Linked DNA regions of Caenorhabditis elegans. The protein of the gene in region 1 purifies or fractionates together with the protein of each later gene. This does not show direct contact. Each region holds a gene or a part of one and is shown on either strand. Other genes may lie near its edges. The genes, in order: mep-1, let-418 and hda-1.

Region 1 (10,455 bases):
TTTTTAATAGCTTGCCATTGAAAAAAAAGACATTTCTATTTCTACATAAATTCAACAGACTCCGCCCATATAATGGTTTTAATGCTTTTTCGCATCTTTGGTTCATCTAATTGTTGAAATTTTTAACTAAATAAACAAGTGATCTTAAAATTTTAAAATTATATTTCCAATTTTATTGTATTGGTTTTACATGGATAGAAAGTTAATTTACACGACTTATGCCATTTGCTTATGACATTTCATTTTAAGCTGATTAGTTCTCCTACGTTTGGTACTGAGCAGCTTTGAGTATTTGCGGGTTGCAGTTTTACCAATTCGTAAAATCCAAAATTTTTATTCGATATTATTTAATGGTTTTTTTCTTCCAAACAAATCAAAATTGACAACACCTGTTTTAAAAACTTATATTCCATAGAGCATTTTTTCACTCCAATTTCATACAAAGCGACCTCCTTCTTTTGGTTTTCTGTGGTCCTATTTGGTTAGAAATATGATATCTTTCCGTGTCCCTAGGTGCATTTTCTCTTCTTTTTCAAACATAAAGAGACTGAAACCAAAATGGACACATTCTGAAAAAATAATTATTATTTCTTTTGATTTCTCACCTGCTTCAACTAAAATGAATCGGAATATTCCGAGGAAACGTAGTGAGGTAATTTAGTTTTTTTAGTTTGGAGTTGAGTATGTGACTATGTATGTACGTAATCTGAATTTCGAAGATGGTGGTGAAGCCCACTTAGAAAATACTTGTGTACTTTTAAGCTGATGTTTCTCGTTTTCACAAAATTACGATAATTTAGAGCCGTTGTAAATTTAAAAAGGTCTGCAAAACCATACTTGAAATATGTCAAAAACAAAACACTTTAGAATTGTTTTGATATTTTTGAAACTTTCAGTCAAAATTGTTTGGTAAATTGTCCAAATCTTTATATTTTGATTATAATTATTGAATGGTGGAGTAATATAACTTTCACTTTTTGGCTGTAAATGAAGAAATTCTAAGCATTTTTGATAAGTTAATCGTTTTAGGATTAAACTGGTGATATTCCATTTTTAAATATAGTTTTTGTTTCAAGAATGCAACAATACTTAAACTTTTATATTCGCCATAAAACTTCTGACTGAAAATCTGATATAGTTCTGAAGTTAGACACTTTTAATTACTTCTAAAACTCTTATATCAATTGTTCAAAACTTACCACAAATCCTCTTCCCGACCTCTTATTCTGAAATTTCTGTAGAAAGTCAACGGTCAACCGGAAGAGGGCGATGAGCCGACAGTATCATCTCTTCTGTCCTCTTCCAATTCTACTTCCCATCATTCAAACTCTACAAATCGTCGAATTACACTGATGGACTTTTTCGACGTTCGAAAATTTCAATCATCGCATCGCGATTTCGTTGTCAACGATGGTCGGCTTCACGTGGTTTCAGGTACTGTAAGAGAGATACAGAGACGCAAAGAAAACCACTTTTTTTTAAATTAAAACTATAATTTATATAATTGAATTCAGTTTCAGATTATTCCCTTATTGCATTGCTTCCTGTCATATTAGTTGGATTATTGATAACAACTATATTCTGTGTCTATAGATTTCGAAGGTGGAAACATAATAAAAAACAAGTAAGGATTACTGTAGTTGTATCTTGTATTTATATTCCAAATTTTCAGCTAGCCGAATTAAATGCATTTTATGAAATTGTAGAATCATCGCCATGTTTAGCTTCTGGAAAACCTTATCTAATACAACATTGCAAAGATGTAGAGGTATTGATTTTTTGGTATTTTAAGGAGGTGGGCGGTAGGCTCTCTCAGAAAAGCTACAAAACTGCAAATTTCAATAAGATATTCCAACTATTAAGATGAAAACTCAATATCATGAATTTGTAATTTTATGAAACACGTTCTTAAAGGCCCACAGTTTTGTTCGAGTGGGTCTCGCCGTGAGAAAAAGTACATGGTAGCACTTTTTAGTTAATTTTAGTGCCCGCTCCAGTATTTTGTTCACTATGTTACAGAAGATAAAAGCTAAGTAAAAAAGAGACCGTAACCCGCTATCAGAAACTTGTTCTCGCGGCGAGACCCATCTGAATAAATCCATGCGCCTTTAAAACTGCGTTTCAGAAATTGGCAAAACTACAATAGAAATTTTAAAAAAAAACATTTTGTTTTAAATTGTATTTCATGGCTTTTAAATGCTTTCTAACGAAATGACACATAATTTCTAATAAAATTTGTCTCAAATGTCTCTTAATTCTGTAGTTTGAAAGTCAGATTTGTAGATTTACTGACAAGAGATTTGCACCGCTCATTTTTGATTTTTACGAAAGATTAGACAGTTTGACCCAAATTGCCTAAAAATTTAAATAAATGCCTAAAAATTTAAATAAATTTGAAAGTGACGGATTGAATTCAAAATTAGTGCTTCAGGCTCTAGAGGAAGTCGGTGGATGATAATCCACCAACGTTGACAACATGAGGTAGCTACCTCAGTTTCAGATAAAAATTATTTGTATGAAAACATTTTTTTTTTCAGAAATCCGAATGTGATCGAATAACTCGTGCAGTTTGCGTTCCCACTCAAAGTTCAATATTCTTTCAACCAATTCCACCGAAAGCAAAATCAGTTCGATGTAACAGTGATGTACTGAAAGCAGTGAATGCAAGTGAAGTAAGTATTAAATCAAATAAAAATATATTTGAACAATTTTTTATAGGTATTATTTCATTTTGCTCAACTACCAACAATCGAAAAAATCAATAATAATAACAATAAAAAATCATTGCACTTCATTCATCGAGTTTAGATTTTCGTGATTCCTCTCATCCATCTTCGCCATTTCTCTTTTCAAACCGGTGTCTTCTATTTGATCATGTTCACTTTTAAATTTTGTGCCTTTTATGTGAAACCAGCCAATGAATTTTTGATTTATTCATTGAATTTTATAAACAAAACAAGCATGTTAAAAATTTGAAATCTAATCAGATTTTCTATTTATCATGCAGATACAAAGACATGATAATCCACCAACGTTGACAACATGAGACGCGTCAGTTTGCCATGAAGACCGATCTTTTAGGAATGAGTTTTCTACAAATATTAAATAATTATTCTGGTTTTTAAAGTTTTTTCACAATACCTAAACTCCGTTTATCATGAGTCATCAAGACTAATCGTCCACCTTTCCTTAAAACTCGTTTCCATTCTGCGAGAAGCCTCGGGTACAGTAACCTGTTATCTGTGGTACTTCCTATCTTCTTGCCAAATCTGAAATATAAATGTTTTTAAGTGGAAAAATCGTTGAAATGATTACGGTAGATCCGTGACAAGTGCATCGATTGAATTATCGCGTAGTGGAAGATTTGTAGCATCCCAAGTGAGAAAGTCGCAGTTTGATCGGGAGCTCGATGAATTCGCCGACTTAAAATATTTATTATTTAAAAATGGCAAATTTTCAATTGTGGCTAATCTACTCATTTTTGAAATAATTTCGACACAAATTCTTCGTTTTGCTTCTAATTTAAAAAAACAACTATTTTTCCGGCAAATCGGCAAACCGGCAATCTACCGAAAAATTTTGGGAAACTATGGTTTTGCACATTTTTTGTGAAATTATGGAATTTCAATTTTAACAGGAAATGTTTTAAAAAGGCACAGTTTTATCCCTCTAAAGACTTTCGGCAAATTGATGTTCGGAAAACGGCAAATCGGCAATTTGCTGAATTTGTCGACAAAAAATTGCCGAACGCCAAATGCGAGACGAAACGAATAATTTACGCCGAAAATGATAAAAACACGGAAATGGGCGGAGTTTCGAGACGAACCCGCGGTAATTCAAATTTTCGTTTTTTCTTACCCAATTCTGTAGACATCTGCTCATTGCCATCTCATGATTATCTCCACCCAAAAATAATGAATTTTTCCATGAAATTGCCCCTTCAATCGGAATAGAGCCACCTCCACACATTGCATCGACAATAATATCTCCTGGTTTTATATCAGCTAATTGAAGCATGCAATGACACATTGTAGATCTCATTGTAGTTGGTCCATACGCACAGATATTACGTTTGAATAGAGATTCTTCGTTCAGAGCCATCATTACTGTCATCTGAAAATATGAATGAATTAGAAGAAATTCAAAGAAAACAGCTGACCAGAAATTCTACAAAATGAGCCAGCGTGGAATATTTTCCCAATTTTTTTCATTAAAAGTTCTTGATAGAATACTGTATTTAAAAAATTTGATTTATCTGAAAATTTTTTCCAACTAAAATGCTAGCTATTTTCAGATAAAGCAAATTCCTAAATTTTAATGAGAGATATTGGGAGCAAGGGTGCGAAAATTTTTCGATTTTTCAAATATCGAAAAATTAAAAAATGTATTTTATCGTTTTTTCGATTTTCAAAAATTATCTTAATATTTTGGTCATTATTCCTCTTTTTAGAAAATTTTTATGTTTTTTCTTATCTAAATATCAATATATTAGATTTTAAAAAAAATCATATTTTATGGTTGATTTTCTGAATTTTTTTTTTGGTTTTTGAAAATCGAAAAATCAAAAATTTTCGTTTTTCGATTTTCACTGAAAAAAATCGAAAAATTCCACCATTGATTGGGAGAACACTATCTCATTTTGTAAAATTGCAGGTACACCGATCTTACATTATTCCGATCAATCCTTAATACTACTTCTATATCGAACTCTTTGACACTACATTTCCAACCAAAAGCATTATTAATTTCAGCTCCAAACTTCGAAGCAGCATCCATTGAACTGAATTTGTGAATCTCTTTCTCTCCACATCGTTTGCATGTTACTCTGAAAAAAAAGTCATCATAACTTTTGAAAAATAAAAATTATTAGGAAAAAAAATAATTGAAATTTTATTTCAAAACTAAAATTTTGAATTGTAATTTTTGTGAGATGTACCAAATTTTTTCAGTTTAAAACCACAATAAAATTTCGAATTTTTAATTTTTTTTGAAAATTTTAATAAGGATTTTTGATATTGATTTCAAAAATTACCTAAACTTGGGTGAATCGTCCGTAACTTCACTATATATTCGATCTTTTTTAAATTGTTGAATCTGTTTCAAAATCTTTTCACTTCCTCCGTTAATCGCGTTTCCACGTGCCAATTGATAAGCTTCAATTGCCAATTTCCAGTTACAAAATGAAATTTGCGATTGAATAGTTTTCAATGCATCTTCTTTTTGCATTTCAGACAGCTTTTCAATTGTTTCTTCATAAAAAACCATATAAAGATTATCGATTGATCGAAGTTGCAGAGTCTCGTTTACACGTTCCAGATCTATTGAAAATCTTACATTTCCACGTCCTGGATGGCATTTTTTAGGCGAAAATAATTTTGAAATCTGAAGGAACTCGAGTAAGATATTTTATCTAGTTTTCAGGATTTACCTCTTTTGCTGCAACTTTTTCAAAACCGGTGATGACAGCAGCACAGATTTCAACGGAGTCTGTCATTTGTCTGAATATCTTTCGTATCTGTTGAAATAGATTCCTCCAAATATTATGAGAAAATCTGAATCTTATTTCTGAAAATAGTTTCAAAAAGAATGGTTTGTAAAGGTGATAATATTTATATGATAGATATCTTCCAAAAATCTTAACTGGACAAATGGTAAAAAAAGTATGAGATGGGGGAGAACAACAGACGTATGAAGTGAAAGTGTATACTGATCTGTCTTATGGGGAATTGCAATTTGATTTTACATGATAATTGTGGGGTAGTTAGGTTTTGAAAAAAAAATAGGGAGTTTTGAAGGTAGGGGAAGATGCGAGAATAAACCAGATATCATGAAGAGAAAAATTGGGGAAATAAAGTAAAGTACTGATTGATTTCGGTTCCGGAACCCGCAATAGAATGTGTATATCAATGAAAGTGGGAGAACTGGTGATTTAAAATGATTGAATGTAAAGAATAAGAGAAATAATTGAGATCATTGTGAAGAATGTTTCCAGCACTCATTCGTAGAACGGGATAAGCCATTCGTTTTCCTATTAATCATCCAGAGTAATACAATCATCTTTTTTTGCTGGTGTTGATGTCTTCTTATCTCCTTTTGGGTGATTTGAAGTGAGATGGGCTTCCAGAGTCTGATAACTCGAGCATTTGAACGCGCACACATCGCACGAGTACATGATTTCAGCCGAGCACAACTTCACTTGATGATCAGCTACCAAGTGTTGAAGCATGTTGAACGCATAGTTCTTGCCGCATGTCTTGCATCGACCTCCGTCTTCCTTCTTTTGCGCTTTGAGGAGCAGATCAGCAGTGACGAGACCATGCGACATCACCAAGTGCCGCTCCAACCCTTCATAAGTCCAGAATCTGTCACGGCATCGAGAACATGCCAGTGGAGCTCCTTGCGACATGTCCTGCAGCACTTTTCCAACCATCTGCTTATGAGTAGTCTGAAAATGTGATGTTTAAGATATTTAATAATCGGTTTTGAAATTGAAATAGAAACGTTTCTTAAAATTACCTGAAGATGCTGTAGATACTTCTCCTTTTCCTGCACTGACGCATCACAAATTTCGCATACAAACGTGGGAGCTGAAGAAGAGCCAACAGTAGCATGAGACGGCGTAGTAACAAGTTTCGAACTTCTGTGTGTTGGCGTCTTTTGACTGTTCTGGCTTCTCATGGAGTTCACCGCAGCCTGAAGTTGTTGAGCTCCTTGTTGCGACTTCAAAGCTGCCATTTGCTTTTGGAGAAGTTGAGAAACTGCCAGCGAATTTCCTTGTTGACCACCTCTACGCAACGACGCTTGCATTGCTGAAATATAAATAATTATACAAAATACTTATTTAAAATATGTTTAGCTATTACCTGCAATCAGAGTGTTATGATTCACATTTCCTTGATTCTGCTGTGCACGTTGAGCCTGCGCTGATTGTTGTTGCAGCAGTTGAGCCACTTGCCGGAATTGGGCCGCTTGCTGTTGCTCACGAAGACGAGCCTGTTGCTGTTGTTGTTGCTGTTGTAATTGTTGCTTCCGTAAGAGTTGCGCAGCGGCTGCAGCTTGTGCTGCTTGCTGTTGATGCAGAAGTTGCTGTTGCTTCTTTTGTTGAGCTTGCTGAAGAGCAGCTTGTTGCTGCTGTTGAAGAATGCTGGGATCCAATTGGGGCCTCTCCCAGAGCCATCTGTTGATATAGAGATGATCGTCTTGCTTCGGCATCATGATGTTTCGAATGCGAATGTAGTCCTTCTTGCACTGCTTGTAATGCTGCTCACGGACACCTTTGAAATTGAAGTCTTCTTCGCAGATTGCACATGGATACTTGGACTCCTTCTCTTCCGATTTTGCAATAACAAGATGAGTTTCGCTGTAATTAAATGAATATTGAAAGATGAAAAAAAAAAAACTTACAAGTAGTGATCCTTCATTCTTTGCTCACTCGTGTCCGTCTCTTTACACATGGTGCACTGGAATTTGGATCCTGTGAAGTGCAAATTCTCCTTGTGAGTGCTCATAACCAGCTTTGATTCCGTCTGGAATCCACAGACGTCGCATCGATGCATTTTCAACTTGTACGGCTCATTTTTGCGTTTCAATGTCTCCCAAACTGGTTTCAACTGCGCAGCGACTTGCTTATAGGTTTCAAGATTTTTTGGCACCTCTGGAAGATTCTTCGCGTGAACTATATCACAATAGGTAGCTTCTTGAACGAGATCCTGTCCAATGTCCACGAGCAGTTTTGTCATATTTGGAACAGGATTATGTTGTTTCAGCTGAGCTCTCTCTCGTTTCTCGGAATCACTCAACTTTGGTCTTTCTTCTCCAAACATCCTGTTGATAACCTTCGTCAAAGGCATTTCGGGATCGTGCTCAATCAATAAGTCGCAAACTTGACTTGGTGGGAATGATATTGTGTTTGGGAGAACGAGAACTTTGTCCAGGATCAGCTTCCGAACCGACAGAGGCTCCTTTTGAACTTGCGCATTGATTGCTCCGAGAAGAGTGTCCAGAACTTTTCGGCTTTTGCTGGATGGTTGATCCTTCTGCTCCTTCACATACTCTTCCAGCTTGTCGAGCAATCTCTTCTGCGCCTGCTCATTGTTGTCCTCTTCTGGAACGCTTGTCGCCTTGACATCATCAATTTTAGCTTTTTTAGCTGGGGCAGGGGTAGAAATTTCCTGAATCTCGTCATCATCGTCGTCGTCGAGTTCGATGCATTCGACAGGCCGCTTCACACCCTTCCCATTCTGTTCGACAGGCATTGAAGAATCTTCTGGCTCTTTCTCTGTAGCGATCTCAGTTGTTCCGTTTACGGAAGGTTCTGGCTCCTCTTCATCTAGCACCTCCTCAGTAACTGAAAATAGAAAGTTAAAATTAAACTTGGTAAAATTATAAAACACACCTGTTCCGTTGGCAGTATCCTCCGACTTTCCGTTCGGCTCCTCAGTGATTTCCATAACATCGCCATCATCGTCTTGTTCAATCTCAGATGATGCCACAGTCACTTCGGAAGCCCCCTCATCCTTTTTACGCGCTTCCTCTTCGATTGGAACCGATGTAGATGCAGCATCACCGTTTTCATCAGATCCATCAGGTGAGGGATCCGTAGACTCTTCGGTGTCATCTATCTCGATCACTTCCACGTCTGCAGATGCCGCTTCCTCTTTTCCGTTCTCTTGATTTCCGTTGACTTCGGAACCATTCGCCGCGTCGGCCATCACTTCGCGCTGTTCTGCCTTCAGCTGCTGAAAACGTTTTATTCAGATTTAAATTCCCAAAACTTTTCCTCACCTCAATTGTGTCTGGCTCCGAATCTGAGGACGATTCACCAGCGCTTCTCGGATCCGTTGGTTCCACAGACATGGAAGTGGTGTTGGTCGTTGTGGCGAGTACCGTCTCGTCGGCGGTGACCATTCTGGAAAAATAGAGTCTAGATAGTGAGAAATAGGCAAAGAGAGAGTGATGAGAAGGAAGCAAATTAGGACAGTTACAGTCGGAGAGGTGGGAGATTCAAACTGGTAGGAATAAAATGCGCGCGCGCGGCAAGCCAGATTTGAACGCACAAGAGAACCAGCTGTGGTAAGTGACTGAGTATCAAACGTGGTACGCAGCCAAATCGGCCTCTCTCCTCCCCTTCCTCGGCCGCTGGTCGCAGCCGCCGACGCTGAGAAGAAGGGTGAGCAGCACTCGTCCTGCTCGCATGCGTCTCTTCACTGGCAGTACTCTCTCATCGGTCCGTCCTGGTATTCCGCGTCGGGAGCGTCAACAGAATCATGCTTCAATCACCAAAAAATAAGCCGGGCAACTTGTAGCAATTGGAATTTACAAACACATTTTGTTAGAGCGCTGCGTACTTCATTATGATTCATCCGAAAAGTTCATCAAAATGATTTACTGTAACGATAAAGGCAGATAAATTTAAAACAGTTAATTTTAAAAGTTCAAGCACGCAACCTAATTACACAATCTGATATATCCATTATACTGATTCTCAAAGCGAATAAACCGGGGCTCACTATTAATTACGAAAACCGAAAAGTTTGAACACGTCCCACCCGGGCGGTGCGGATGGCGACGGCGCGGTGTGTGAGGCGAAATGATGTGTGTATGTCATGAGTGTGTGAGCGTTCCGTGAGCGCATGAATGAGTGTTTTGTGAGCGTGACGTGCGTGGCGACGGGTTGTTGTGGTCTCGCCATCATAACCTTAAATGGTCTAAAAATTCATAACCGCCATTGTCGGTTAGGCCGGGTGCTGTCTTTATGGGCTGCGAACTATCTTCTACCAGGAAGACGCCCGTTCCTAAAACTTGAGAATCAGCTAAATATTTCTATAGCGTTTTCTAGGAAATTTCTACAGGCCTTAAATATAAATTCCGATTAAACATTAAACGAAAATCTAAGATGTTGAAAGGATCGTGTTAGGATCAGCGCTATATCAGCTGGAAGTGTGAATTCCTTTGCATCTAGAATACAAATGATAGTAACCTGAACTAAATTCGGTGCATTTCAATTGAAGTTGGCGTCTTTCTTCATTCTCAAGTTAAATCGAATTCTCGTAGGTTTGTAAATTTTTGATAAAAATTAGAACCTGATTTCGTAATTTAGGTTTCTGTGAGATTCAGCAGTTCTAGGATACATTCGAAAAGTTTGTGAGAGAAAAGTTATGACTATTCATGTTTTGAAACGATAATGACCTTATAATCATGAGGATCAACATTTCTGAGGATATACTACTCGCTGGGCACTATAAACTAATGGAAAAACTGCATTTCTGAAAAAAAGTGACACAATGAAGAAAGATATTTGCAAGATCAGTCAATGTGGGATTGACACCGTTGTATTTATTAATTGAGTATTTCCTCGGGTCTCGCCACGAAATCGCAACAGGTGCAGTTTCGATAGCAAGGGAGTGAACGTTGGTTCTCAGCCACACATTCGCTCAATTTGAAATTTTTGTGTTT
Region 2 (12,665 bases), on another chromosome or scaffold:
AACGACGTTTTTCGTAGAAATCATTGAGGGTTTAACGCAGTTTGCATACTGATAGAGACACTGTCTATGAGTTCATATCGTTTCAATGAAATTTTTTTTTCGAGTGATAAACGAGTACACATTGGTCAATGATATGTGACGAGATTGGGGAAGTAGAATTCAAACAAAAATGATGAAGACACAAGAATTGTGTTTAAAAATTAGAGGGGCTATAACTTTCAAAGCTGAAAACATTGCAAGATTTGAATTTTGAATTTAGAAATTAGTAACCAACTTCTTATAAAACAATTTTCCGGGAAACATATGTTCTAGGTGAAGTTTGGCCGAACTTAAATGAAGAAGTTTGTGTACGAATATTTGAAGTAAATAGGTCATTACAACAAAATGAAAACATTTTGTACAACTAAATAAACCATTGTATTGTATTGCCTAACAGAAGTTTTTCCACGTCATGGTTTTAGGATGTTTTGTGAACCTGGGAATAACTTTAGATTTTTTTTGGAAATAAAATTTCGTAGAAAAAATCGAAAAGATAGATGTGGGTGAAAAAAGTCTCACTATCAGTTTTATTTTAATATTGAAAAAATTACATTAAAAAAATACCAAAAATTCCCAGATGTTCCAGAATGTTTGAAAGCATCTAAAATCTGCAAAATCCACGTTTGAAGCTGAAATATTTTCAGGTCTACTTTTTTTTAGCTCAAGGTGCTCCTCTGCTGCTGAAGTTTTACAGGGGCCTATTTTAGACGTCATCTTTCAACTAACGTATGTAGGTTTAATTCAAAAGTGCAAGTGTGAGCTAGAAGAGTGTGCTAGAAGAGAGCTTTACTTTTACCGTCATATTTTTTTTGATAGCAAAATTGAAGATGTTCATTACTTCCTGTTTACCTAGATATTAAAAATATGGTTGAACAATTTTTCGTTAGGTTCGTTGATATTTTCCGTCTTACTATATTCAAAGCTATGTATAACTCACTGGTTATCCGATTACTCCCATTTCAAATTATCTTCTACTCTTGCAAAAGCGGGTTAGAAAAGGTAAACACCATGAAAAAAAACGAACATCCGTCATTGAAGACTAGGAGAAAAAATAAACAAGTTTGGGTGTTTTCTTCATATTTCTTCAATTAGTCACTTATATCTTCCGGGTACTGTATCCTTCCCATCAACCAGACAAAAGAGGATTCCCCCGAAACGTGAAGAAAGTGATATTATTGCGAAACTCGATGATAAGAAGTTTAGTGCGAGGGGGTAGCTAGAGAAAGCATGATAAAACTAATTGAAAATGTGTTTTGTGGTTAGTGAACGAAAGCTACTGTCAGTGATGATGATATGTGAGAATTTTGTGACCGCTGAACTTGGACATCTGTGACGGAAATTGTGGTGAGATATGAATTGAGAGAAAAAAGATATAAACTACGTTATATGACACAAAAAACGAAAATTGAGGAATTTAGACCACGTTTTTTGGTCAGAGGGATCGAACTACATATTCAATTTATATTAGTTTTGTACCCCACTACTTCACTTTGAAAGGCTCTATCTCGGTTCATTTCAAAGATACCAATAAATAATAAACTACAATACGATAGAAAAGACGTTGCAAATATTTTTTCAATTGACAATTTTTTAATAGGACAAACGACTACAGAGATATAATCTGTTAGAGTTGAACCACTACTAGATACAATCCGGTAGTTCCGTTCCATGGGTAAGTGGTTTATTGAGTTCTGAGAAAATTAACTTTTCTTAAGTTTTTTGAAAACGTACAGCTATGTTTGAAAACAATGTACAACAATTTGTCAGTAAAACACTACAGATTCAGGAAAACTGCAAGAAATTTTTAATTTTTTTTGCAATATTTTTACAACACAAAAATATAATATTTCAAAATTAACAAGAAAACATTCAGAACGTATTCGAATAAATTTTTATTTTAAAACTAGTTGTACACCTGTCGTTCGTATAGCTGATTTTTTAATTCGCACTGTAAAATTCTACTGGTTTTAAATGAAACTAGAATAATCACGATCGTATTTTTTCAAGTGTTTTTTTCCATGCGCAGATGAGCTCCATACGAAGAATTTCTAATATTTCACAGTTGGGCTACATTTCATGTTTTCATAATTTGAAATCCATACATTATTTTCAGCTATTTAGTTAGGTGGCTTAGAGTACAATTTTGTAAAATTTACCAATCTGAAAGACCATTGTTCCTATGAAAATAGCAATTGATTTAAAGTAAACTCACCAGACAAGCTTTCCAAAAGTGACTAGGTGCATAAATAGAAAAAAACGACTGAAAGCTATATCGCACATATGGGCTACTCTAGACTTTATAGTATTTGATAGCACTCCAGAAAATTGCTTAGTTCATCGTTTAGCCATTAAACCTACAAACTGGTAGCCAAACTATTATTCTACCATATATTTGATTTAACGTTTATAGTATAATGCGGTTTAGATTATTAACATTTTTGGCAAGATTGGAAGATTTCCTTACGTTCGAGAAATCAAATTTTGCAAGATCAAAAGCATATTAAATAGTAATTTTCAAAAAAAAAATGCCACACAATCTATCTCAAAAGGACATTCAACACTTCTCTGACCGCTCATTGACTTCTCATTTGAAAATTCACGTAATTTGTAATTTTTCGTTTAAACCAAACTCCATGAAACTGCTCTCTTATTCAATATCAAAACAAAAACGCGCCTTTCTCTGATAATCTGATATGAAATCAGGGGGGTGTCGTTGAAACGCTTATCACGGAGACATTAGAACAAAAAAAAAAGAAACCGAAAAATGAGGGGTACTGTAATATGTTATGGTTTTGTTGTTTTGTTATCTTCCATAATTCCATGAGACAAAGGGTGGAGAGGTTCACGTGAATCCCAGCATCTCGGATTATCTGGTTTCCGGCAGTTGAACTTTTGAAAAAAAATAACTGAATCAAAAGTTTATGTTTACTTATTGACTGGACATTTTTGGGTTGGAGATACATTAAAATTTGACAACTTTGAGTAAAAAACGATGACACATGCCTGAAAATGATGTTGGTTATATTTCCTTTGTACAATTTGTTTTTGGGAACTTGGGGATCTTGCTTTAAAATATTCAGAATTAGTCGATTTCTGTAAAAGCCAAATTACCAAATTTGTGGTAAGTTGACAGATATATCATTTTAAAGTTTGGACATTTGAGTACTCTATTATGTCAACACAAAATTCTGAGAATGCGTATTTCACAACATATTTGAAAGTATCTCATAGCGAAAACTACAGTAACACTTTAACTGATTACTGTAGCTCTTATGGCGATTTACGGGCTCTATTTCAAATGCCTTGTGCAATACGCATTCTCAAAATTCTGTGTTCCCGTAATATCACTGTTTTCGAACATTATTTTCCAAATTACACTTTTACAATTTTGTAGAAAATCTAGCAGTTTGAGAAATTTTTTCAGAAGTTAAGATATAATTTCTAGAAGCTTATAATAGGGCGAATCTAAAGCGTTATACTGTTAATTCGAAATATTAAATGTTATTCAATCATTTAAAATTGCCACGTTTTCAGAAGGTCAAGGTAAATTTGTTTATCCTTGATTTAAACATTATGAACATTTTATTTCTTTTAAATTATTTTTAACTCGCATAAACACGTGTTTTGAACTTCTAGATCTTTTTCTTCACTGCCGTGCATCGATTTGAATCATTTTCCGCTTTTGCGCTTTCAAGGGAGGTCCATTTATGCGAATGGGTCTCGCCGCGCTAAGTGCATTGATTTTAAAATGTTGTGTGTGCGTCTTAACGTTTACTGTCCCGTTCTTTTTTTTTTAGCTTTTTCCCTGTTTTCTAAGGTTTTCCTAGTTTCTGAAAAGAATTTGTATATCTTTGTATAAGAATTTGTATATACATGCTGATTCAATTAAAAATTAGTAAAGTTCCGAAGAAGAAACCTATTTTCGGGAGCTATGCAGGTGCGCTCCATTGCCAGCAGATGCGTTTTGTTCAAATGTTTTCTTTTTCATTTTTTTTTGGCTCGCTTTTTGGATTCGCGTTTCCTCTCAATTTCCGCAATTTGATATTTCTAAGTATACAAGTATATTTCTAAAATCGTCATAAATATTTGCTCGTAATTTTCCCAATTTTAATTCAAAATTTTAATTCTATCAGGACGGTTCACAGTTTTTACCTGATTTGAATCCTGAAATAGATCTAATTTACTAGTTTTTTTTTTAATCCGTAATCCAACGTGTTTTTAATTTTCTGTGAACAACATAATTCTCAACTCAAATTAGTAAAGGGACATGCCACGTATTAATAATTTTCGTTGCGGGAAACACGACGCTGCATTTGGTCACTCTTACGCGCGAAGACGGGTCATTCGAATTTCCATCACTCTCCTCTCGTCTCTCTTTCTCTGACCACCGTCCCAACGAGCTGTGTCCCCGTTCTGCAATGTCCCCGCAGTGTCTCGTCAAATGGGACATATGGGGACATGAAATTGTCCCGTTTCGAATCAATATTTGTTTGAAATATGTTTTTGAATACGGCTATTTTTTCTAACTTTTCTTGTAATAATTGCATTTTCTCGATGGTAGATTTTAGAAAACTTGAAACGTAGGTTGTAAAATAAATTTTAAAAAATTTAAAATAGCTTGACGAGCTTAAATTTAAATTCCTACTTTAGGAATTTAATATTTTCAAAATTTTCTACGTTTTTTAGAAAAAATTAAGGCTTAATCTATCAGCCCAAAATTTACACTCAACTCTGTGTGTTATTTCGTCGCCGTGTTTGCAGACTTTTCACACTTTCAAATTTTGCTGATTTGCATTCGAGCTTTCTAATTTGTTCTCTTTATAATGTCCTTCTTGCAATTATTTATGTCTTACTTATATTAATCAATTTTCAGAAATTGTATTTCTCCTGAGAATTCAACAATGTCAACTGAAGAAGATCCGTCTTTAGTGGACGCGGAAGAATCAATGGAAGAGGGTTCTGTCACTCAAGACGCAACTGAAGAAACAGAAGAAGAGGAAGAACAAGAGCAAGGCGATGAGGCTGGACCATCTGAGCGAAAGCGTTCTTCTAGAAAGAAAGGCGGAAAGGGAGGCAAAAAAGGATCCAAAAAGAGTGCTGCCGCAGCTAGCAAGGTTGAGATTCCTGATCCGTATAATTCGACAAGTGAAGAAGTTTGTGCTGCTATCGGATTGACAGACGTCGAATTTGATTATGATGAAGAGGAGTTTCAAGGAATTTCTAATCTGAAGGTGATTATTCAAAATTTATTTTTTAAATCTCGATTTCTGTTTTCCTCCAATTAAACATCTTTTTTACAGACTTTCTCCTCAATCATCAAGCCACAAATACTGGAGGCAAACCCCGGAACCAACGTATCCAAGATGTACCCGATGTTCCAAGTCAAATATAAAGAGTATCAAGATCACATGGCTGCCCAAGGAAAACCTGTTCAAAAACAAGCTAGAGGTTCAAAGACTCCAGCAGTTTCCACACCCGTCATCCCTCCACGATCAGCTCCAACGAAGACTCGTTCTGCAAGGAGAAAGCGTCGAGATTCCGATGCTCCTGATAGTGATCAAGAGTTTGAGGCATTTATTAAGCAACAAGAACAACTGGAGGACGATTTGGTAAAAGACAAGGAAGATGCTCGTATCAAACGTGCAGCGGAAAGAGAAGAGAAGAAAAAAGGAGCATTGGAAGCTGCTCGTGCCGCTAAAAAAGCAAAATTAGAAAAGGGCGAAGAAGCTGAAAATAATGACTACTGTGAGGAGTGCAAGCAAGATGGAGAACTTCTTCTTTGTGACACCTGTCCCCGCGCTTACCATACAGTCTGTATTGATGAAAATATGGAAGAACCACCAGAGGGTGATTGGAGTTGTGCTCATTGTATCGAACATGGCCCAGAAGTAGTTAAAGAAGAACCGGCGAAGCAAAACGATGAATTCTGCAAGATCTGCAAAGAAACTGAGAATCTTCTGCTTTGTGATAGTTGTGTATGCTCATTCCACGCATATTGTATTGATCCTCCACTTACCGAAGTTCCGAAAGAAGAAACATGGTCGTGCCCACGGTGCGAGACGGTTAAGCCGGAACACAAAATCGAAAAAATCCTTTGCTGGAGATGGAAGGAAATCCCGTATCCAGAACCTCTCGAAGCTGGGAAAGAGGCTTCGAGTGACGATGCGATGCTCAAACCACCACGGAAAATGGAACCAAGACGTGAGCGTGAATTCTTCGTGAAATGGAAGTATTTATCATACTGGCAGTGTTCTTGGGTCTCCGAAATGCTGTTGGAAGTTCATTTCCGTATGGTGAGTTTTAAGTGATGAAGTCCATTTGACTAATGTTTATTTTTCCAGCTTATATTGCTATATTGGCGCAAAAATGATTCCGATGCTCCTCCAGAATTTGAAGAATCCGTTACGTCTCGTCATCATTCTGATAATGATCCTTATAAATTGCGCGAGCGGTTCTACCAGTATGGTATCAAACCGGAATGGATGCAAATTCATCGTATTATCAATCATCAATCATATGCAAAGTCGCAGCAGGATTACCTTGTTAAGTGGAAGGAGCTCAGCTATGATCAAGCCACTTGGGAACGAGATGATTCTAATATTGCCAATTACGAAGAAGCAATCATTAAATACTGGCAACATCGTGAGAGCAAATTAAATGAGGATATTCCTAAAAATGTGCAGAAGATGATTGCTAAACATCGCGAAGCTAAAGGTCTTCCTCCAAAAGAAGACGAAAAGAAAAAGAAGAAGCGTGAGAAGATTGACATCCGTAAAAAATATGAAGTTCAGCCCGACTACGTTACGGAAACCGGAGGAAAACTTCATCCATATCAACTGGAAGGACTTAACTGGCTTCGTCATTGTTGGTCCAACGGAACTGATGCGATTCTCGCTGATGAAATGGGTCTTGGGAAGACTGTTCAATCGCTTACTTTCTTATACAGTCTCATGAAGGAAGGCCATTGCAAAGGACCATTTTTGATTGCCGCTCCTCTATCAACTATTATCAATTGGGAGCGTGAGGCTGAACAATGGTGTCCTGATTTCTATGTGGTCACTTATGTTGGTCTTAGAGATGCTCGTGTTGTGCTCCGAGAACATGAGTTTTCTTTCGTTGAAGGTGCCGTTCGATCCGGACCGAAGGCTTCAAAAATGAAGACGACAGAGAATATGAAGTTCCACGTGTTGCTCACTTCTTATGAGACTATCAATATGGATAAAACTATACTTTCTTCCATTGAATGGGGAGCTCTTGTTGTTGATGAGGCTCATCGGTTAAAGAATAATCAGTCGTTGTTCTTCAAAAATCTCAATGAATATACTATTCATTATCGCGTACTTCTCACCGGAACTCCACTTCAAAACAATTTAGAAGAGCTCTTCCATCTCCTCAATTTCTTGTCCAAAGAACGTTTCAAGTAAGTTTCTGAATTTTTGTGTATTTTATTTTATTAATTGCATTTTTTCAGTCAGCTCGAGGCTTTCACTGCCGAATTCAATGAGATTTCCAAAGAGGATCAAATTGAAAAACTTCATAACTTGCTCGGACCTCACATGCTTCGCCGTCTCAAAGCTGATGTGTTGACTGGCATGCCATCGAAATCAGAATTAATTGTTCGAGTTGAACTGAGTGCTATGCAGAAAAAATGGTATAAAAATATTCTGACTCGCAATTTTGATGCATTGAATGTGAAGAATGGAGGAACTCAAATGTCATTGATGAACGTCCTTATGGAATTGAAGAAATGTTGTAATCATCCATATCTTTTTGTGAAGGCAGAGTTGGAGGCTCCGAAAGAGAAAAACGGAATGTATGAAGGAACGGCGCTCATCAAGAATTCCGGAAAGTTTGTTCTTCTTCAAAAAATGTTGAGAAAGCTGAAGGATGGTGGCCACCGAGTGCTTATCTTCTCACAAATGACAAGGATGCTGGACATAATGGAAGATTTATGTGAATATGAAGGATACAGATATGAAAGAATAGATGGAAGTATCATGGGACAAATGAGACAAGATGCTATCGATCGTTACAATGCTCCTGGAGCTCAACAATTTATTTTCTTGCTCTCCACTCGAGCTGGAGGTCTTGGTATCAATCTGGCAACTGCTGATACGGTTATCATATATGATTCTGATTGGAATCCTCACAATGATATTCAAGCTTTCTCTCGTGCACATCGTCTCGGACAGAAGCATAAAGTTATGATTTATCGTTTTGTAACAAAGAAATCTGTCGAAGAAAAAATCACTTCAGTTGCCAAGAAGAAGATGCTTTTGAATCACTTGGTTGTACGTGCAGGATTGGGAGGAAAAGAAGGAAAGACAATGAGCAAGACTGAGCTGGACGATGTGCTTCGATGGGGAACCGAAGAGTTATTCAGTGAGGATCTTGATGCTGCCGAAGGCGAAGGCTCGGAGAAGAAAGGTGCTGCCGCACAAGAAATTGTTTGGGATGATGCAGCTGTAGATGCTCTTCTCGATCGCAGTAACAAAGAAGAGACTCCAGCAGGAGAAGATGGCGAAGAAAAAGCTGAATGGCAAAACGAATATCTAAGCTCGTTCAAGGTGGCCAGCTATCAGACAAAAGAGACTGAAGGACAAGAAGAAGAGGAGGAAGAGGAAACGGAAGTGATTAAAGAAGATGAGAAAGAACCAGATCCAGATTATTGGGAGAAGCTGCTCAAGCATCACTACGAACAGGACAGGGAAATCGAATTGCAAAAGCTTGGAAAGGGAAAACGTGTTCGCAAACAAATCAACTATGCCAGTGAGAATATGGGAACTGATTGGAGCAAGCAGGTTTGTTTTTTTTCTGATTAATTGGGTTTTTCTGATTAATTTCTGATTAAACATTTAATGATTTTTTTCAGAACCAAACCCAAGATGATGACGATGATAACGAGTCGTACCGTGGTTCGGACAATGGCGACGGCCTGAACTCTGATGAAGATGATTACGATGAGAAGAAAAAGCGGCGTCGTGATGAAGAAAAAATGCCTCCACTCATGGCTAAAGTCAATGGACAAGTTGAGATTCTTGGTTTCAATCCACGTCAACGCAAGGCGTTCTACGGGGCTGTTATGCGCTGGGGAATGCCTCCACAAGATTCTCATCAATCTCAATGGCTTGTTCGAGATCTGAGAAACAAATCGGAAAAAGTCTTCCGAGCTTATGCTTCACTGTTCATGCGACATCTCTGTGAGCCTGGAGCTGATGGTCATGATACCTTTAATGATGGAGTTCCAAGAGAAGGTCTTAATCGTCAGCATGTTCTTGGCCGAATCGGATTGCTGAGTTTAGTTCGGCGGAAGGTTCAAGAATTTGAGCAATATAATGGCCAATGGTCTATGCCTGAAATACAAGACGAAGTTCTCGCTAAAGCTGCCAATGGTTCGGCACAAGGATCTTCAAGAAGTACTCCGAAACCAAAAGAAGAGCCGAAGGAAGAACCAATGGAAAAGGAAGATGCTACTGAAACAGTTAACGGAGCTACATCAGAGCCAGCTACAGATGCTGAGAGTGAACAAAACGCTCCTGTTGACGAACCAATGGATACAGATGAAGCCAAAGAACCGAAAGAAGAACCAATTGAAACCGAGAAACCAAGAGCAGCCCGTCCATCATTCAAGTTCAACATTTGTGACGGTGGATTCACTGAACTTCACTCTTTGTGGGCCAATGAAGAGAAAGTTGCAAGAAACGGAAAAGAATATGAAATCTGGTACCGCAGACACGACTATTGGCTTTTAGCTGGTGTTGTTGTACACGGATATGGACGTTTCCAAGCTAATTTCAATGACATCATCAATGATCCCAGATTCTCAGTTCTCAATGAGCCATTCAAGGAAGTTGGCGCTGAGGCAACAGGATCTGACATCAAAGCCAAGTTTATGCAACGTCGTTTCAAACTTATTGAACAGTCCCTTGTGATTGAGGAGCAACTTCGTCGCGCTGCACACGCCAATCGTCACTTGCAGCCGGATAATGTTGGACCATTGGCTCAACGTTTTGCGGATTTAGAGAATATTGCTGAATCTCAAGCTAATATCGCCAAAGAAAGTTCTGCTGGAAATCGTAATGCGAATGCCGTTCTACACAAAACATTGGTTCAGCTCGACGAAATACTTTCCGATATGAAGGCCGACGTGTCTAGACTTCCATCTACTTTTACACAGTTAGCGACTGTCACCGAACGTCTCAACATGACCGAGAGACAGTAAGTTTTAACTCGTAAAAGCTTCAGTCAATATATGTATATATATTTCAGAATTCTTTCGCGACTGACCACAAAAGACGAGGACGCGATAGCCAACCGTAGCGTACTTCCACCACCAGGACCATTTGTAACTCCAATACTTCGCCAGCAGATGGATGGCATTCAACCAAAGTTTGCAGCTCTTTACAGTAAATTCATGTCTGAAAATGGAGAAAGGATGGAAGAGGATGAACCAGTAGAGGCAGAAGAGGAAGAAGGTGTAAAACAAGAACCAGATGATGAGACTCAAGATAGCGCCGAAGCTCCGCCAGTTCTTAGTGCAGGTTAGTACTAATTCATATGGATCTTAAAATAACTCAATGTATTTCTATTTCCAGAAGTGAATTCCGACGATAGCAACGATGTTCCATCTACTTCCGCTGCTGCTGCTGTCAGTTCTGAAACAGCTGCCGACGCCGAACCAGCTTCCGCCGAAGATCAAGCTCCAACAGATGAGCCAGAACCAATGGAAACTTGAATGTCTTTTTAATTTTATTGGGTTTTACTGTATTTTTTCAAACTTTAAACCATTATATTATTTATTGTTCTCTTTTTAGTTGCATCAATTGAAATGCAATTCAAATAATTGCGTCATGAATCTGTGTAAACGTTTAATCCTGATCTTTTCGTCTTAACTTGTTCACATGAATCTAAGCAGCCTCGCCATCAACACGTTGACCGTTCTATGATAACCCAGTCATTCTCTATCTCGCCTCGCTTCCTCTTTGCCCATTCCCCTTGACGAATAGGGTAATTAATCAATTGCACCGCGCAGAAGACACAGGGTTCCGGCGTGGGCGACAGTCAAAAAAGGAAGTGTGGAATGTGTGTGAAGATATCAAATATTTGTGACGTTCTCTGTTGTCTTGACAGGAAGAGAGAAGCGTTAACTATTTCATATTCCGATGACGTATTTGTTTGATGTTGTCGATGAAATTTACAGTTACATCATCGAAACGGTTATCCTTCAAAGGTCATCTGGAAATTTTGAAATTAGAAAACAAGTTGATTTTTACATCATTGGTTTCGTAGCCATAGATCACCGATCATAAATGAAATATCATCAATTTCATGATTTTTTTCATATGGTTTAGACTTTGGAGAGGGACCAAACGCTACTAAATACTTGGAACTTTATTAACATTGTATTATAATATTCAGAAATTTGCACTTTTCGCGTCAATGAATACGGTAACTGGTCTCGATGGGACAATTTTTTGTTCTGAAAAAAAGATTGAGCCTTTAATGACTACTGTAATGATTTCCAACTCTCGTTGCTATTGATGTCGCTTTTGTTCAATAAAAAATAAATTTATTCAATAAAAAATTAAAGGAATCATATACGAAAAAATCATAGCCTTCTGCGATTATCGAAATTTGTCGTGTTGAGATCGGGTACCGTATGTTTGGCTGAAAAATCTGATTCCTCGCGGCTAAACCTGTCTGAAAAATTCCATGCTACGTTAGGTAGACGTTTCATTTTCAGATAACAGCGAAAATGCAGAATCTATGACATTGTCAAATTGCGCGTGTTCAGAGACTTGCTGAAACATAGACCCGAAAAAAGTTCACAACAGAATGAAGTCATCTTGTAACTGATTACCTCATATTCAGGCGTGGCTGGACTCAATGATATAGACGAAAATATTGGAAATCGTAAATGCATGACTGGTCATTCAAACTAGAACCCGATGCAGCAAAACATTAGACATTATTCCGATGTCGGCACAAAGCAGACTCGATGAATACTTCAAAAAGAATTACTACACTGTATGCGAAAAATCGACAAGTTTCATGAGTTCAACAGATTTTATTGTCTATCCTCTTCAACTTTCCACAATTCTGAATATTCCTTTATTTGTTCTAGCAGGGTACTGTATATTACAGAAAACACCGAAATCAATAGGTTCTACTAAATGGGCATATTTCAATATGCACATTTGGTAAGCTGCATTTAAATTATATCATGAATTTAAATGCGCTTCAATTCTCTGTTTTCAGGATGTGCTTACAAAGTTTATTAACAAGTACGTTACTAACACCTATCACGTGGCTGCCAACAATCGGATCATCTATGATGGGTCTATTTTCATATATTGGAGTGCCAGAAACTGTGCAGTTTTATTTATTTGTAATTGTAATGTTTGGTAAGTTATCAAAAGTTCTACCAATAATTAGAAAATACTCTGTTCACAGTTACTATGTCGTCAGTAGTGTCACCTTTTGAAAATCGACATAACGCAATTCAACACAATACACTTCGAATTTCAACATCCTGGGTTCGATACTTGGTTACTAGTGCCAACTATTTGGTTTCTTTCAGTTTTCCGATTCCATTTTTGTTTAATATCCCAAACCAGGAATCAGCA
Region 3 (9,392 bases), on another chromosome or scaffold:
CCTTTGGAGTATTGAACCATGTGGCGTGGCTTGACTGCAATAATTAAAATAAAAATCAGTTGAATTCGTCAATTTATTTTCAGGAAAACTTAAAATAAACTACAAAAATTTTTAATGCAACATCGTGCCAGACGAAGTTGCCAGACTAAAATCAGGAAATATACTATTTTTTTTAAGTAAATCATCAACTCACTTGGCAGGGCGAATTTGTAGACTCCGTAGAGAATGACTCCTGAGTAAATGTAGAAACGGAAGATTGGGAGGTACTTCCAGCAATGGCGCCAGGACCACATTCTCAACTGAAATTGTCATTATTTATTTTCTTCATACTTTCCGGGAAATCTTACGTATTCTTGAGCGGTCCATGGCCGGGCTGGCATGCGTGGATGAAGGTCTGTGGCCGGGATTGGAGCATTTGGAGAAGCAACGACGACGGCGGCTCCTTTGACTGTCTCGGCAGTCCACTTTGCTGCCTCAAAGAGCTTTCCTACGACCATAGTTGATTACCTACAAAACTAAAAATGATTATGTAGTTAAGCTTTATTTGAATATTGATATTTTTAAGCTAAAAAAAAAGATAATTGACATAATTCAACATCGTGAGAGCGTGGGGAAAAATTGAACGTGAATTGCAAGAAATAAACAAAATAACTTATATTTATCAATATTTTACATCGAAAAAAAACTCAAAAAGAGCAATTTTTAGCTTAAAAATAAAAAATTGGGAAGCCAAAAACTGACGGCGGTTTTCGTCCCGCCCCTTTTTGCAAGATTGTGCGTGCTCGCGGTTGTGTGCAAACACGCCGCACACACTTACGACGCTGCGTTTTTTGTCTGCCTCCTGTTCTCGTTCAAAACTGTTTCACCGTTCACCTCGTTTTTCTCTCACTTTTCTGTTTTTCTTATTGTTTTCTACTAGAATTATATCTATATTTGTTCAAAATATAATAAAAAGACGACGCTTGAAGTGTTTCGAATAGTTATTTTCACTGAGCTGCACCTGTCTAATAGACCCACCGTTCAAGGAAGAAAATATCGATTTGTAGGCACTGAATAATATTTTTTAAACATTTTTCGATTCAAAATAAAAATACTTCCAGCAATGGCGCCAGGAAATTCATTGGAGAACTCACTCTCAAATATTAATCTCAATTTCGTAAAATGCTATTATCAAAAAATATCAATAGCACAGGCCACGTGGCTTTTGTTTTTTATTTAAGCTCCTCCCACAACTTTATTTCCGAAGTGAATTTAAAAATTAAACTAAAGGTCAATCATGGGAGGAGCCTAAATAAAAAAGAAATAAAAATCAAAAGCCATGTGGCCTGTGCGATTGATATTTTTTGATAATAGATTGTGGCTGGCTAGTTTAGATTCCTGTAGAAATTGTGCCAAGAAAATTTAAATAATTTCAAGACAAGGCCCAAAAGACAGTATATCATATTGTCAGAATTTTTTATTCCTTGGCACTGGCGAAATTTTCCAGTGCTCTAAATTATTCCAAAAAACCACAGCCACCTGTTTAAGTATATGTCTTTGAAAATTATATTCCTTCAAAGTTTTTACAAAACCTCAATTCTTATATTTTTCCGCTTCAATGATCTTGCCGAATTCAGTTTATTGATCAAAATGTGTTATAGTAATGAGCGTTTTCACGTCGCGTTTATATCGATTACCAAAAATTAGCCAAAAACTCGATCAATACTGCATAACCTGTCTTACACCTTCTCCTTCTCTTCATTTTATTTTTCTTCGAGCAATCTTGTTATTTCAGTCTACTGCGACCATCAAACATGAACTCAAACGGCCCGTTGATGGAGCACGGTAAGCGCCGTGTCGCCTACTACTATGACTCCAACATTGGAAATTACTATTATGGTCAAGGGCACGTCATGAAGCCACATCGTATCAGAATGACCCATCATCTCGTTCTCAACTATGGTCTGTACCGGAATTTAGAGATTTTCGTAAGTAATATTTCTTCATTGAAATATTGTAAACGTTTAATTTTAGCGCCCATTCCCTGCATCATTCGAAGACATGACTCGTTTTCACAGCGACGAGTACATGACGTTTTTGAAGAGTGCGAATCCAGATAATCTGAAATCCTTCAACAAACAAATGCTTAAGTGTAAGTTATATTCTTTTTAAAACTAAATGTATTGTCTCATTTCAGTCAATGTTGGAGAAGATTGTCCTCTCTTTGATGGTCTTTATGAGTTCTGCCAACTCAGTTCGGGAGGTTCTCTGGCTGCTGCCACTAAATTGAACAAGCAGAAGGTGGACATTGCTATCAATTGGATGGGAGGCCTCCATCACGCCAAGAAAAGCGAGGCGTCCGGATTCTGTTACACCAATGACATCGTTCTCGGTATTCTCGAGCTTCTCAAGTACCACAAGCGAGTACTTTACGTCGATATTGATGTTCATCACGGAGATGGAGTAGAGGAGGCGTTCTATACGACTGATCGAGTAATGACAGTGTCATTCCATAAATATGGAGATTTCTTCCCAGGAACCGGAGACCTGAAAGATATAGGAGCTGGAAAAGGAAAGCTCTATTCAGTCAATGTTCCACTTCGCGATGGAATCACCGACGTCTCTTACCAGAGTATTTTTAAACCAATCATGACAAAGGTTATGGAGAGATTTGATCCCTGTGCTGTTGTTCTTCAATGTGGAGCTGATTCTCTCAACGGAGATAGACTTGGACCATTCAATCTGACCTTGAAAGGCCACGGAGAATGTGCTCGTTTCTTCCGAAGCTACAACGTTCCACTTATGATGGTCGGTGGAGGTGGATACACTCCAAGAAATGTGGCACGTTGTTGGACGTACGAAACCTCGATTGCCGTCGATAAGGAAGTTCCAAATGAGTTGCCATACAATGACTACTTCGAATACTTTGGACCAAACTACCGACTTCACATCGAGTCGTCGAATGCAGCAAATGAAAATAGCTCCGATATGCTGGCTAAATTGCAAACTGACGTCATCGCCAATCTCGAGCAGCTCACTTTTGTTCCAAGTGTTCAAATGAGACGTACGTTTTGAACGAATTTTTGTTCACTTTTTAGAATCTGTCAGAAAATTATTAGATGTTTGTTGAACACTTCATAATTATTCCATTTTTCAGCGATCCCAGAAGACGCCCTCTCTGCATTGAATGATGACTCATTGATCGCCGACCAAGCTAATCCCGACAAACGACTACCACCACAAATTACCGATGGAATGATTCAAGACGATGGAGACTTCTACGATGGTGAGCGTGAGGGAGATGATCGAAGAAACGAGAGCGATGCGAAGAGAGCAGCTCAGTTTGAGTCGGAAGGTGGTGAAAAGCGTCAGAAGACAGAGTAAAACACTAAAATGTGCCGCCGTCGAATTCAGTATCTCCTCTGAAAATAATATTCAATCACTGTACACCACTTTTTCCTTGTCAAATGAGTATTACTTTTTGATTTTCCTTAAATCTAATTTAATTTTCCGCCCAAATCCCAACTGTTTTATTTATTTTTCAAATTCAAGCACTTTTATTTGGAAGATCTCTTCACTTTTCCCCATTAATCCTTTTTTATCTCAGTATCCTTTACCCGTTTTGCACTTCCTCAACATCCTTACTCCTCACATCCACATCTAATCTACCCCCTTCAACGATTTCCATTTCTCTTGTCGTCCCACACTCCCCATTTTACTGGCACACAATTCCAATTCCACAGTCAGATCCTGAACACTTTTTTGTATTTTGGTGAATTTCTTCGTTTTTATTTATTTAATAAAATTGACTCGATTGGAACCGGCGCAACGTCTATCTTCAATTCGGAAATTGGAAAAATCGAATTTGTCACATTGGAATTCGAATGGAAGAAGACTAAAGTTTTTGCAGTTGACATCGTTTATGTCGTCAGTTTCAGCTGCTTCATAATTATTGTCTGGAAGCGAGCAATTATAACACGAATTATGATGACTACGCATGTGGTCTCATATTACAGAATAAATTCTCATTTCTATTTTCAATTGTATTCCTTGTCTGTCTTCATCTGATGTTGGATGGTGTGCTCCAAAACGGAGACCAACAAAAATTGCATCATAAAAATCCACTTATCCAAATTTTAGCCCCACCTGGGAATGGAATCGAATCGGCTCTCCGAGCACTCCTTTCACACAGAGACGGAGAGAGAAATTAGCTTTTTACTGGGTTCTTGTTGTTGAAAATGCAAAAAAGATGAAAACATGTTTCGATTCTTTCTTTGTTTTTCTTTTTTCTTTCCACTCATTCATACTTTTCATTGTTTGTCGTTCATTTTTCAAGTCTAAAATTCAGAAATATCGAAAAAAAAGGATATTCAATTTCGCAACGTAACCGATTTCCGGTTAGATATCAGCTTGAGCAGAAGGGGAGGTGCATGAAGAATAAAAGAAGAAGGAAGGGAGAAGCTCAATTTCAGTTGATGAACATTCGTTTTTTAGTTTTATGTGTCTTGTCCTCCATTGAACTTAACTCTTTAAAAATGGATTACCGGTTTTTGAACATCTCTTTTTCAGTTTATTAATCGCAACGTCACACGTAAAGCCGCAAGGGTTTATTCGGATGGGTCTCGCCACGAGGAAAAAGTTTAAGTGTACAGTTTAGAATGTACATCAAAAAGTTATACTTCAAACTTTTCTCGCAGCGAGACCCATATGATTAATTCTGTGCACCTTTAAGTTTCAGAAAACAGCGAAAGATAAATGAGATGACATGAGAAGTGTACTATTCTCTTTTTTTTTAATTTGGCAGCTGAAAATACCAAGAGAACGGAGTTCGTGGCGAGACCCATTGAGAAAATTGTACGTAATCTTCTGTACACTCACGAATTTACTATAAAATTTAAGAAAATATTATTTAAAGTTTTCTAGATGATTATTGAATCTATTTGAGATTTTCTGTTAGCCACAATTTGGCATAATTTTCAATGGATTCAAAGAATTTTCGTTAAATTTTTTTTCTAAATTTGAAATACTTTGAAATTCTTTAAAAAATCAAGTGAAGTGGTTTAATAAAAAGACTGAAAATATATTTAAAAAGGTTTTTGTCTCTTCGGGTACAATTTCAGATAGAAATTGACGAATTGAGATACAAAGCTTTTAAAGTTTACTGAAATCGTATTATTACAAAATGAACGCATATTAATTTTTCCAGAACAATTTTTTGTCGACAAAATGTAGGAAATGTGAGATCCGTGTAATAACGGAAATAGAGCTGGCAAGCCCAAGTTTTGAGAATCTCGTTTTAAAAAAGACCGTTACACTTTTTACCAATAAACCATATTATCACTTCAAGACGGTTTTTTACAGACTTTTAGGCATGTTGTGATATATATTTTAAACTATAGTTTAATCCATAGGAAAAATTCTGAAGCTTTTCGGACTTTTTTCTTTAAAAAAATTAGTGAACATTGAACACGGCTCTGGAATAAACCAAATTTCTTTATACTACTCGTCTTACTATTAGTTAGACAGTTTTCACATCTATAACAAGAATGATATTTTAACCAGAATTTCTTGAATATCCCAAGAAAAAGTCTTATTCTATGGTATTTTGCTATCTTCTCAAATTTCAAAGATCTTGAAAGTAAGTCGTTTGTTTTCTTTCACATTGTGGTCTAAAATTAAATGAAGTAAATATCTATGTACATCTGCGTCCATTCAATTTCCCACTTAAAACAGAAATAAATGTAGTGCCCTTGTTAATGAGCAAAAGTTGACCTTCATTGATGGAGTTGAGAATATCTGGAATCAATTATTTTCATTATTGACTTCCCCCTTTGTCTACTTCCTCGTTATTGAAATACTTATATTTCTAATTGGAACACTTGAATTTAGAGTCATAAACTTTTGAACATGATCTTTTTCTCGTTGAGTTATCTACCATTTTCCTCGTAAAACAACGATCGATAAAATCCAATAAAATCATCACTTTAATCTCGGATACCGGAAATTCGAATAAAATTGAAAATTGATCATGTGCTCCTCCAAATAATCATGTCGTTATGTTTCACCAACGCTTATTTTCCTCTCTTTTTTGAATATGAATAGTGTTTCTATGGTTTGAATGAATGATGTCATTTTGAATGGCACACTTGCCTTGCTTTCCATTATTTAACAATAGGCAAGTTCAGCCAATAATGTGGTAAATGTATTAAGTAAAGCTATGAATGAACCAAAAAGGTAAAGACGTGCATTTACTTTTTGGATTTGCGCAAACCTTCAAGAAATACACTAAAATGACTGTACTGACCTGAAGTTTTAAAGAATATTTATCTGAAAAGTTCAATTTGGAATTTTTCCATTTCACTTACTATTAGTTCATTATAGTTCAAAAGTAATGTTTTTAGTTTAAAGAAAGCCTGAAAAATATAAAAATTTGGTTATACTCCTTTCATATAGCTGATTTATTTTTATATATCCACAACTAAATTATATCAGTAGTTGGACTTTTATATTTACCTACTTGAACCCGAAAAAATTATTTATTTTTTAAAATTGTCTCAAAGTTATTTTCAACAGTAGAGCGTGTCTTCCAATAAACACAACATACACTTTGTTTGTGCTCATTAAAAAAATTAAAATATAACTTAAAAACATTAACTGCCACATTTATAGAAATGTTCAGTTAGAGATAGAAATTTTTAATCAAGCTCCCAATATTTAAATTCAAAATAGTACGAACTAGAAAGTTTTAGAATAATTTTGGTAAAAGCCTATTAATTTTTTGAAACCTATGTCTTCTGGAAAACCCCGTGGAATTTTGTAGCTTAACCATAAAAACATTTTTTTGCAAAATTTGAAACACACATAAATTTTTTTTTTGCGAATGCTACTGAGAAAACCCCAAATAATTTTTTCCTAAAATTTTAACATCTTGCAAGATTCCAACTTTTCCTGTTTATCTGCAAGTTTGTAACTTGTTCATTTCCGTGTTGTTACACATTGCCACCAACTTATCAGTCAACATTTTTGCTGTGAGCAGTATATGGTGATATCAGAATTCGTTCCCACAAGTCAACGAGTATTTTTTTTTCTTTCTCGCAATTCTAGCTATTTGCACAAAAACAAGACTCTTACCTAATCCCTCAACTTTTCATGTTCTATGTGCTCATTTTACCCACAATTTCTCTTCTCTTTCCAGAGAAAATTTTTGCGTCGGAAAAAAAAGAAAAAATCGTTCAGGTTTTATTGGATTCTGTTCAATTTTTTTTGGGAACTGATATTTTCAATTAATAAATTGCCACTGTTTTCATTCACAATTCATGCATTTCTGACAATATTGCAGGTACCAGAATGTACCCGCCCTATTCTTTTATTTTTTCCATTATTCTCGAGTGCGCCGCCGGTCCATCGTCGGGGTGAAGTAAATCCATTTCGCGCCACTACTCAAAAATGCATTTTTTGAGTGCTCACTCTTTTTGGACACTTTTATTCTTTTTTCTTCGTATTGGCAATAAGAATTAATTCAGGAACAAGATGGCGGCAGTACGTGCTGGAGCTGTTGGCCTGTCGAAACAGGCAAGATTCACAATGTATTCGTCTACAAGGCCAGGTTAGTGAAGATGTTGGGAAAAAAGTAGTCAGAAAGTTATGAAACAGGGGTATTCGGTATGCTTTTCTCGGTACATACTTGTAGACTATACCTCTATAGATCCTAATTCTCATGATACCTACAAAATAATTATAAACTCAATAATCTTTAGTGAGAAAAAGTAAATTCTGGTGATTCTTGAAGAACTTGGTTTCACAAAAAAATAAATCTAGAAGCACGCAAAATGTATGTAACTGTCTGCTTTTTTTGTTCGACTAGACTTTTTAGAATCCCTGGAGAAAAATTTTGAAATGTCAAGTACTTGACGTTACTTGAACTTGTTGATCATTAATTTAAAAATACATATGTCCTCAGAATTAAAATCAGAATCATTTCCCAATCCTCAACATATATGTATACTTCTCAAAGATTATTCATTTGTTTTTTTGATCTAGGATATAGTTTTTTTGAAGTGAGTGTGTTGAAGTGAAGATTTTTTAAGGAAATCTGTAAGAAATCAGCTCATATCCTCAATCAGATTACATCTATACAATAACAGTAGATGTTTAAAAAGGATTTAGAAAATAAATCTCTAAACATCGGGAGTTTGAACACCTAGAATTATCAAAATAATGACACATTTGTTTCAACCATTTATTACTATTGTAAACAGATAAGATAAACCAACTCCCGAGCCGAAGAACTTTTTGAACTGTTCAGTTCTAGTTTTTGAATGAAAGTAATTTTCGATTAGTTTTAATCATGTTTATCTTGAGACTAATTAGTATGGACTCAACATCCTAAAATGACAAAAAATCGGATAACTAGTAAGTTTGATTTTTACGTTCCGGGAATTTTTTGCAGTATGTCTAGCAAATTCATCAGGTATAATTTTCATAGTTTGCTATAGACTTTATAAAATATATTAGAACTTGAATAAAATTGACTTTAAAAGTTGATAAAATTTGAAAGCATAAAAAAGTTTACGTATTCAAAACTCTTTACTCAAATGTGGCCCAGGCTCACTGGTATGAATAATACACGAAAAAAATCCATCGGGAATTAATTTCAAAGTATTTTTTGTTTTTATCAGACTTGACTGCGGTCAAACTACTGTAACAACCGTATTCTATACTTTTCTCTTTAAGTTGTTATATTTTTTTGTTAAAATTTTTCAAACCTATCAGTCAACCTACATATACATAAATCTGAAGTAAAGGCATTAAAAACCAGTATCACGCAACAAAAAATTCCAAAAATACCTTTTTTCTCCCACTAACTTCCTCTTTTCAAATCCTCTTCTTCCTCCCTTACATCACTTTTTCATAAAAGGCACCTGATCTGTTTGGAAATTGAAAATCCAGCTCAACCCGGTTGAGTCGTTTTCATCCAGCTGCAAATGTCTGGTGTCTCTTCATCTCTCACGCTATTTTCATATTCGTCTGTTCCTAACACACTCACACACACACAACTTGATATCAATGATTATATATCCGCAAAAAAGGAGAAAGACAGGCGACTCGAGCGCTTTTTGCTCACGCACACACACCTCTCTCTATCAATTTTTAGTTCCATTCTCTTTCAGTTCCATTTAATCGAAATAATCTTTACTTCCTCCCCCAATTGCTTTTCCAATTCTTTTTCCCTTATAAGACATCGGATCACACAGATTCTTGTGTGTCATTATTTGTCCAGTTGGAATTGAAATCTAGTAGAGCCCGGTGGGAACCTCCTGATGAGAAGTCTATTGTCCTCCTGTCGTCAATGAGAAGCACTTCGAAGAAGAAAAAGAAGAAAAAGTGACAGAAGAATATGGAATTGCAAGAGA

Evidence for each region.
Region 2: the proteins of mep-1 (region 1) and let-418 purify together in Caenorhabditis elegans (affinity purification with western blotting, with the first as the bait; 2 studies listed by BioGRID). This does not show direct contact.
Region 3: the proteins of mep-1 (region 1) and hda-1 purify together in Caenorhabditis elegans (affinity purification with western blotting, with the first as the bait; 2 studies listed by BioGRID). This does not show direct contact.

The regions. Positions count from the first base shown.
Region 1 is NC_003282.8:11,523,095-11,533,549, reverse strand, and holds mep-1 (MOG interacting and ectopic P-granules protein 1), read right to left. Parts: upstream 8,909-10,455; 5' UTR 8,908-8,908; coding exon 8,785-8,907; intron 8,739-8,784; coding exon 8,396-8,738; intron 8,348-8,395; coding exon 7,405-8,347; intron 7,361-7,404; coding exon 6,864-7,360; intron 6,810-6,863; coding exon 6,517-6,809; intron 6,446-6,516; coding exon 6,032-6,445; 3' UTR 5,596-6,031; downstream 1-5,595. Other genes in the region: M04B2.7 (uncharacterized protein), read left to right, coding at 1,242-1,434, 1,515-1,624, 1,673-1,768, 2,538-2,672, 2,719-2,808; thum-3 (THUMP domain-containing protein), read right to left, coding at 2,980-3,092, 3,142-3,269, 3,316-3,422, 3,859-4,113, 4,669-4,825, 5,033-5,382, 5,429-5,494. UniProt on the Caenorhabditis elegans protein: Has a broad role in development, specifically in the genetic pathway SynMuvB that negatively regulates specification of the vulval cell fate. Required for fem-3 3'-UTR-mediated repression in the regulation of the sperm/oocyte switch.
Region 2 is NC_003283.11:5,821,921-5,834,585, forward strand, and holds let-418 (Protein let-418), read left to right. Parts: upstream 1-4,912; 5' UTR 4,913-4,940; coding exon 4,941-5,270; intron 5,271-5,339; coding exon 5,340-6,332; intron 6,333-6,380; coding exon 6,381-7,459; intron 7,460-7,510; coding exon 7,511-8,840; intron 8,841-8,911; coding exon 8,912-10,257; intron 10,258-10,308; coding exon 10,309-10,580; intron 10,581-10,634; coding exon 10,635-10,774; 3' UTR 10,775-10,911; downstream 10,912-12,665. Other genes in the region: srh-76 (Serpentine Receptor, class H), read left to right, coding at 12,016-12,239, 12,298-12,443, 12,493-12,665. UniProt on the Caenorhabditis elegans protein: Part of a NuRD (Nucleosome Remodeling and Deacetylase) complex which is implicated in the synMuv B pathway that negatively regulates specification of vulval cell fate.
Region 3 is NC_003283.11:14,523,615-14,533,006, forward strand, and holds hda-1 (Histone deacetylase 1), read left to right. Parts: upstream 1-1,774; 5' UTR 1,775-1,793; coding exon 1,794-1,967; intron 1,968-2,013; coding exon 2,014-2,131; intron 2,132-2,176; coding exon 2,177-3,043; intron 3,044-3,136; coding exon 3,137-3,363; 3' UTR 3,364-3,797; downstream 3,798-9,392. Other genes in the region: ril-1 (RNAi-Induced Longevity), read right to left, coding at 1-34, 194-299, 348-497; kcnl-4 (Calmodulin-binding domain-containing protein), read left to right, coding at 7,510-7,585.